2 linked regions of the Drosophila melanogaster genome follow. The protein of the gene in region 2 interacts with the protein of the main gene of each other region in a pairwise test. Each region holds a gene or a part of one and is shown on either strand. Other genes may lie near its edges. The genes, in order: CG6569 and CG14995.

The links.
Region 1: the proteins of CG14995 (region 2) and CG6569 interact in a two-hybrid assay, tested with the Drosophila melanogaster proteins (one large-scale study listed by BioGRID).

What each region holds. Positions count from the first base shown.
Region 1 is NT_033777.3:21,865,672-21,869,778, forward strand, and holds CG6569 (uncharacterized protein), read right to left. Parts: upstream 2,249-4,107; 5' UTR 2,173-2,248; coding exon 2,138-2,172; exon of another isoform or gene 2,074-2,137; coding exon 1,734-2,073; intron 1,684-1,733; coding exon of another isoform or gene 1,681-1,683; exon of another isoform or gene 1,656-1,680; coding exon of another isoform or gene 1,623-1,655; exon of another isoform or gene 1,594-1,622; coding exon 1,096-1,593; intron 1,039-1,095; coding exon 839-1,038; intron 780-838; coding exon 572-779; 3' UTR 502-571; downstream 1-501. Other genes in the region: lsn (larsen), read left to right, coding at 1-76, 144-290, 354-501; CG31174 (uncharacterized protein), read right to left, coding at 3,119-3,311, 3,368-3,490, 3,548-3,843.
Region 2 is NT_037436.4:4,099,899-4,104,748, reverse strand, and holds the start of CG14995 (uncharacterized protein), read left to right. Parts: upstream 1-1,788; 5' UTR 1,789-3,192; coding exon 3,193-3,272; intron 3,273-3,534; exon of another isoform or gene 3,535-3,568; coding exon of another isoform or gene 3,569-3,753; intron 3,754-3,903; coding exon 3,904-3,969; intron 3,970-4,850. Other genes in the region: Fit1 (fermitin 1), read right to left, coding at 1-489.

The sequences.
Region 1 (4,107 bases), on a different chromosome or scaffold from region 2:
AGAGTTCAGTGCACCAGGAGATCACCAAGGAGGACATCCTAATGGCCGCTAAGAAATTGAGCATTTTTGGCAACGGGTATGGGTCATTACCTCTGCTTGCATTCAATATCACAAGTTTCTCGTTTTCCATAACGTACCTTCAGCTTTGTGGTTCACAAGCTGGGCAAGGGCAAGTACATAGTTCAGTCCATTCCCGGAGAGCTGAGCATGGAGGAGACCAACATACTGAATGCCGCATCCAATACCGAACAAGGCTGTGTTACGCAGAGTCAGCTGATCAAGGATTTGGGGTAAGAATTTCACTTGTACTTTCAACTGAATATCCCTTTGATTTCCGTGTTATCCGTTCTCAGCTGGACCGACTATCGTGCTCAACAGTCACTGGACAAGGTGCTCGGCGAAGGTCTCTGTTGGATTGACAAGCAGGCGGGCGATGAGCCAGCCTATTGGTTTCCCAGTTTGTTTCCCGGTCGAAACGCACAGACAACGGCCGCCACATAGTGTGATCTCGTAGAACTAATTTATTATGTACGAGAGTTATCATAAAATATATATTTGTACAACCGTAAAATCAGCGTGAAGTCTGCTTGGAGCTATCGCCTGCGGCACCGCTCTTAAGCAGTTCGTTTTCCGCCAGCAGCACGGAGTTCTCCTCCCTTAACTTGTAAATTTCCGATTCGAAGCGTTGCGTGATGTCCTCCATGCCCTCGCGGTATTTCTCCTTCATTTTCTTGTGATCCATTATGCAGCGATCCATTTGAGACTTATAGTACATTTTTCTAAAAGCGTTATGATTTATAATCATGTTTGTCATTAATTGTCTATGTTGTATACTCACATCCTGGCATCTTCGGCATCCCCACCGTAAGCTTCAGTAACGGATCGCTCCAGTTCGCCAAGTCGCCGGCAAGTTGCCTCCAACTCGGCCTCCAGCTTATCGTTCTGCTTCAGCACCTCCTTGTACTTTTGCTCCAGGCGATTGCTCCGGGTCTCCAGCATGTGCACCACCGACTTATGATCGACAGCCAGTTTTTTCAGCTAAAATTTGTAAGTGTAACTATAAGTGATAATTATTATACGAATATAGACTTTTACCTTCTCCTTTATGGTGGTAATTATAATGTCCTTTTGCTTGAGCATATTCTTCAGATGGCCCACTTCAACGTCGACGCGTGTGGAGGCCTCATCCATTATGGTACCGATATTGGAGGCTAGGTGGGTCATCTCCTCCTTGTAGGTCTCGGCCAGCTTTGTGGCATCTATTTTCTCCTTGTTTGCCTCTTCGCTGAGTATGATAGCCTCCTCGAGCTTGCGCATGGCGGCGGTTTCCCGTCTTGTGCTCTCCATGAGCAAATTGTGGGTGTGGCTCAGCGATAGTTCGTACTCCTTAAGCTGCTTCTGCAGGATGGACACCTTGGATTGACTCTGCTCGCTATCCTGCAGTTGAGCATGCAGCTGCTGGAGTTGCAATCCGCTGTGCTGCTTGTGATCGTGCAGGGCCTTTATGGTCTCCGCCTGCGTGCGTATCTCCTTCTGCTGGTCCTCAACTTTTGCCTCCAGCACTTTGACGATCTTCGAGTACCGCTGTATGACCTAAAATTGAATTCCGAAAACGTTGAAGTTTACTTTAGGATTTTTCCATTAGTCTCTGGTCCCTAAAACATACGATTTGGTCAAAGCTTACTATAATATGATAATCAATACGGGATTGGAATGATGAAGTGCAATAATACCTGGTCATCTCCAGACATTTTCAATTGGACGCGATAATTCTTAAGATCCATCTCCATGGTTTCGATGGTCTGTTTGGAGAGGTCATGCATGGTTTTCAGGCTGTTCCGTTCCTTGATAAGCTCATCCACCTGCTTCTTGGACGCGTCCAAAGCCTTGTTGCTGAGTTGAAGGCGATGCTTGAGCTCCTGGTAATCGCCGCTAACCAAGATGCTCCTGCATTTGGCCAATTCGATGTCCAGCCGGCGGTTCTCATTTAGAATTTCGTTGAGGTGAACCTTCAGTTCGGCCTGATCCCGCATCAGTCGATCCACTCCTTCACACATTTCCAGCACAAAGTTGCTAAATGGTGAATTGGCTGCGCGTTGACTAACTTTAGTTGACAAATTTTCCTTTGCTCTCCTACCTGAGAATGGCTTGCTGATTTTCGTGTTGTGTCATATTTGTTGTGTGTTTGGAATCATATTATTTTTCACAGCAGAGTTGTGTATCGGGTTTATTGTGTGTTTGTATAGAATTTCATCAATGAACCAAACAAAATGTTTATGTTTGACATGAGACGAGTTTCTGCGATGAAGCAAGCTTTGTCTTTTAAATTATCAGGCATTTAAAATCCTGTTGAAGGCAGTTTGGCTTAGAAATCCATCCGTATCCCCGCGTGCAGCAAGGAGTTCTCTGTATTTCACCGATTTTATGCAACTGGCAACCTTTTGCTGCCCCTCGTCAATCTCTGACAGCCAGCCGCTACCCTTCAAGCAGGTACATATGGATACGGTCTTACTAGCCATTAAAAACCTGGCACGAGTCCTGCCGCGAACGCTGATCCCCTGACAAGTGTCTGTTGTCCTGGGCAACGGGGCAGTGGCAAACAAATGGGGATGTAATCGAAATGTGGTCAACTTTCCGTTTCAGTTGTTTGCAATGCCGCTCTTCAACAAGAAGTTCGAGTCGAAGCCGATTCCAGTGCGTCAGGGACGTTGCAATATAGGACATCCGGTGGCCACCGAGGATCTGGATGACTTCCGCCAGATTTCCCTAACGCTGGGCAACAAGGAGCTGCGTTTTGCGGACGGCATCTGGATGCATTCGACCCGAAAGGGTGACGTAGATGATATGCTCCGGCTGAACAAGAAGTTTCGTGCCCTCGAGGAGGAGAACAATATGTGTAATCTTAAGATCGAGGTGATGCTGGATCTGCTGGCCGAGCGCGACGGAACTAAGTGAGCTGAAGCCAAAGGAAAAGTGATAAAAAAGCTGTATAAAATAAACAAAATATTTGATATACTGAATATTTTTTATTGTCAAATGTTAAAACCCAAGAAACTACATAAATACGTTTTGATTTCACTAATAAAATGCTAAAATCTTAAAAATTCCTAAGCGATGACTAAGGCTGATGAGTGTTTGAGTTATTGGTGGAATCATTCTCGGAATTTACCCACTTAGAGTGGACCTTACTAAGTCGCGAGTACTCAGCTTCATACTGTTGCATTAGATCATCCATGTCTCTCTTGAAGGAAACCATAATTTCTTCCTGCACACCTTTGTACATTTCCACTTGATCCTTGTGAAGTTTTCTTCTATAAATGCCAATAAAGTTAAGTAAATGCTATCATAAATAAAGTTATGATCTCACAATTCAGCTTGTTGTTCCTCCATATCGGGATTGGATTCAATGGCCGATTGTTTCACTCTAGCTTCAAGGTTTTCATCCAGCTTCAAAGCTTCCATATATTTCTGCTTCAAGCGTTCCTTTTTTCTGTGTTAAAAAAAAATGTTCATGTAAATATTATACGTAAATGATTTAGGATCATACAGCAAAATTTGAACTTCTTTATTGGGATCATCAACAGAGCATTCCACCTTGATCTCAGGTTCCATATGCATCACAAAATCTTCATCGAATTTAACACTGTTTTCAATCTTGGGATGGGATTTAGAAATGTTTTGATAAAGCTGGCAGGTATTCTGCATAAAGTAGGTACAGTTTTGATTTCGCTCAGGTTCTCTTTTGAATCCCACCATTGTTGGGGTTAATGATTTTGCAGCCTCATCTATAAAGTTCTTGGATTTAATGCTCAAATTTGCGATGACATCGTTCAAGTCGTCCATATCGTCCTGATTCTGAACCAAAACCTAAAACTTTATATCCTTGGCTTTAAGACCAATAACTCGATAAATTTATACTGAATTAAATGGTGATAGTAAACTAAATGCAAAGGGAACATGTTTCCATTTGTTTCTCGATCACAAAGTAAATCAGTTCGAGTAATAAGCGCATTTGTTTATTTATCGTAAATACCATAAATTTATTTTTACCCAAAGTAAGCTAATTTCGATTAAGACCCAACCACATACTTGAGTCCTATTTATAAT
Region 2 (4,850 bases):
CTGCACGTATGCGATTCCATTTGCCTCCGCCACCGGAATCTTTCGCTGCGGCAGCTTGGAGAAGTTCTTCTTCAGATGCTCCGGTTCCAGGGGCTTGCAGAAAGACAGTTCCTCCGGATAGCGAATGTCCAGGTCCTTGCACAAGCTCACAACGGCTCCGAAAGTTTTGGCCGAAAAGTTGACGCGGTAGTCCAGATAACGAAGATCGGGCATCTGCACCCTCAGTGTCTTGTGCATGGGCGTGAAGTGCAGAAAGGAATCCGATTGAACTCCGGCCTGGTCCAAAGTGGACCGCGTCCTGGTCAGCCAGATATTCTTGGCGGGCCACCACAGGGCGTGATCGGACCAATCCTTGGGCAACTCCGGATCCACCAGGTTCAGCATTACGCCGCCAATGTGCTGGTCACCCTTCACGCGCAGCGTCTTCTCCACCTGCAGATCCGTGATGAGGATCCGCAGGTTCCACGTATTTTCGCCCACATGAATCATCTTTCGCTAAAAGTTCCGATGCGCGGGCGTCTCTTCTGTCCAAAGGCGAAACTATAACTGCGGGTATATTTGTATAGTGTATATATATGGCACAATCAGAGTCTAAATTTGCCCTCGAAACGATGACGTAATTCAACTTACGTTCAGCACCGTTTTTGCAACCAAGTTTTTGTTGTTCTTGTCGTTGTCGTTGGCTGGCGGGGAGCGGAGAGGGGGGGACTGCGACTGTGGCGGTGGCGAAACTATATAGGCCCTTATCTCGCCAGATGTTTGCACGGAAACAGAAACGCCAGCGAAACAGACCCAACAATCCAACAAGCCGAGTAATCCAGATCAAAATCGTTGGATGTAGAGATGGTGGTGGTATGTATGATGATAAAAGGGGGGGAGAGGCGGGGATGTACGGATCACTTGATTAACACACGCCCAAGGTTACGATTTTGATGGCTTGCTTGCTGCTGCTTGGGATGTTTTGTTTTCCCGATCTCTCTAGCAATCGCAATTCGCAGCGTTTTCCTCGCTCTTTTCCTCGCACATCAACACACCGACGAACACTAATGCACGCGCTCAAAAATGCGATGCAAATTTTCACAAAACAACACGTCGCGGGCGACGAGACAAAGCGAACGAGCCGAGATAGAGAGAAATTAATTTATAAATAAACCAGCAGCAGAGCAGTATGACCGTTTGTCTGCGCATATCGATGGTTCGCGCCAGCGAAATCGAACTTATCGGAACGGATGGTAAGAAGTATAGTTTAAATTTTGTTAAAAATTACATCGAAAATTAAGCAATACCATTTACCGTTAATTCTCGTGCTTAGTTTTTTGTTATTAAACTTACTGCAAGAGATATTAACCACCATACATTCTTATAAATTCTACTTTCACAATTGAACCGTGGATAGGGCATACCTAATACATTAGATTCGCATGATTTAATATAATTCGTATTCGACTTGAAACGAATTTGTGTATGGCAATCTATTGTATTGTATCAATTGTATTGTATCATAATATCGGACAGGCAAAGAACAATGAAGTCGTGGAGATTGGCACTATTGTTCCTCATTTATTTCTTCGAATTGGCTTATTCCATACGTACCTGTGGCCCAGGACGAGAAAGGAACTGTCATATTAATACTAAGCAAAAATATCAAAGGCCGAAACATTATTAACGTAACCACATGTTAACAGTAAGCACATATTTTAAAATGAGGGTACAAATATGAAAAGTGTATCGATATTTATTTTTTTCCAGAAATGGGGGTCACACCGGCCCAATGGTCATCTCTAAGTTATCGTAACGAAAAATATAGTTCTGTTGTTTTAATAATTTTAGTAGAAAGCAAATCTGCTATTATGAATATCAATTTAAATTAACGCATGTTCCAGTTAACTAATTTGTTATAAAGCAAAAGTACATGCATATATAAAAACAATACTGGTTTTTCTCCTCCTCTCTCGCTGTTTCGCTCTTTCCGCTCTTTTTCTCCACACCGCATTCGTAAACAAAGACAATGAAAGCTCCAGTTGAACGGCTAAAGAGGCCTCAAAGCCCCCAGATTGTTTTTCGCCGTTGAGCCGAGCGCACGTATTCGAAAAAACAACTAATAGTGTATAATAGTGCAGTATTGTGTAAAACACGCGCGTCTCTGCTTTCTCGCTCTGGCACCCACCCATACACTTTCGCGTGCCCATACACACATACCTGTAAGAGAGCGAGATACGAAAAACGGTGCATGGAAAATAGGAAAATCGGAACTGAAAAAGTCGGAATTTCGTTTAATCAAGTTAGCTGCGCGTACTACTGTCAGTTTCGAATTGAAAGTGCCGGCCCAGGGTTTTTCAAATAGTCATATCGTTAAGAAATTCGAAATAAGACACACACCCACAAGTTCTCGGACAAAAACATCTCGGCACGAAAAAATCGATGCAGCAATGTAAAAATTTGACAAACTCCCGTACCACAGAATGAAAGCAACAATTGAGTTACACACATATACATAGTGTAGTTAAGCGGTGTGTTACGTTCATATACATACTCGTAACAATAATAAAAAAAAGCGCGGCGCAACAACCCGAGCGGCTTATTCATCCATGCAGGAGATTCGAGATACAAAACATCAGATACAATAGCAAAACAGCAGTCTAGCATCGAAATTTTAGTCAGTTGAAAAAAACCGAAAAGCACAAGAAATTTTCATTTTGTTCGGTCCCTTAACGATAAATCCTAACGTTTTTGGCAATTAACGAATATTGTAGCTGTGGAAAGGAGCCACACTACAGCAAATACACCAACATTAAGCGGTTGATAAACCCGAACTCAGAGCAACTTGAAGACTGGAAGACATACGTAATTACAACAAATTGCAGCAACAACAAAGCAACGCCTACGACACGCCAGTGATTACAACAATAATAGCAGCAAAAGCAAAAACGAAATTATTTACCACAACAAGGCATAACCTGTTGTAGCTATTTCACTGTACTGCATTGTTGCTCACCTCTCGGCATCTAAAATTGGGCATTCACAAGCGGCTTATAGTAAATACGCGTTTAACCATCGGCTGTGAATACACAATCATTATATAGCCGGAATCTGCAAGTGGCACACCTGTGGCCACGGGTCAGTTGAACACCAGTTGGAGCAACAGCATCGCCATCATCATCACCATCACCATCACAGCCACAAGTACACACAATGTCGAGACTCACCGAGGAAATGGTGATAGCGCGGGCCAAGCAATCCGATTTGTCCCTGATCAAAAAGCTAAATTGCTGGTAAGTAGACAGCCCAAATAACTAGAAATATTTATAGAATATATCATCATATCATACTGAATAACGAAAGGAATGCTTGCATTAGTGCAATAACTAGATTGTTTGTAAATTTTTAGTCAGCGGCATATTAATCATGCTTTAGCAAAGTTAGGACGACTAATTGTTTATTATTGTTCAGACTCAACCCACTGTTAATTTCATCGATTTTCGATCTAATTTTCGCCTGTGCATTGATCTATTGCTAATCGTGCTGGGGCAGGTGCAGCCACTATAGTGAAAGCTTCGATCTGTGTTGAATGGGTCTGCGATCTGGTGTCTGGGGTTTGGGGGATCTGCCCACTTTGCTGCTCACTTCGGTCGCTCCGGCTGCTTTCACTCGACCCAATTCCAGGGGCAATCTTCTAACCAGTTTAGAAGTGTCCACTTTGGAGCGAGTCACGATTTCCTGGACTGGAAAAACACGCGCCCCTCGAGAAAAACGGTTGGAAAAGCGTGAAAAGCAGTTGAACTACTTTCCGTGATGGGCCCCCAACTCTTGACCCATCTGCGATAAGCGTGTTGCCTGCTAAGAGGGCTCCACTGTACATTATTTATCTTTATTAAAATGCCATCTATTCTGTGCTTATTTCAGGGGCAGTGATCTCAGCGATGTGTCCATCATCAAGCGAATGCGTGGAGTGGAAGTTCTGGCTCTTAGGTAAGTCACAAGTCGTGAAATATTTCTTCTATAAGGATCATTTTGATTTCCTGACTCGGTGCCTTTTGATTGATACAAAGTGTGCGGCTCGCCGCCGAGAGAATGCGGTAGAGATATATATATTAAAAAGCTAGCGAGATATTTGCTTTCCAGTGATGTCATCGCCCCATCATTAGGCAAGCTCAAATACGAAAGATACTTTGGCACGCTCAAGCGCGTAATTAATGCAAAAAGCTGGGGACGCAGAAAACTACAGAAAATAAGCTAAAAGTCGTGGGAGCTCCCAAATTGGCAATAGCAACTGGCCGCGTACTTTTCCAAGTCGCGTAGGCCACACTGCGTAGTGGGCAGATACTATAGTTATGACTCGTATCTGCTAGATACTTTTGTATCTCGCTGTGCCTTGTACCTCATCTGGTACTGCTGGATACTTGTTGTACTTGCATGTCGCTCGATAAGTTTGCATGTGCTGCTGCTGCTGCTGCTGCTTTTGCTGATTTCGCCACTTTTGCCATAAAAGGCGACAATCATTTTGACTGCCAAGGTCGCCGAAATCCATTTCACCCCCCCAAAAACTTCTGTCATCTGTTGGCAATGTGCTGAAAACTCTCGACTCTTGCGATTCGTTTAATTATGCATAAAACAGATATAGATGGAGGTGCATATATACAAGAGTTCGTGGCCTTATAGGGAGATTTGGCATTGAACTTAGGGGAAAAGAACCGTGAGAATAACAGGAAATAATAATTTAGGTATGGGCGAATCAGCTATTTCAGATGAAGCGAATAATATGTCGACCCAGTGAACAGGAAGCTATAATTATGGTATTGAAGTTGTAGATATCGCACCTTAAACAGAAATTAGATCTTATATATTTATTT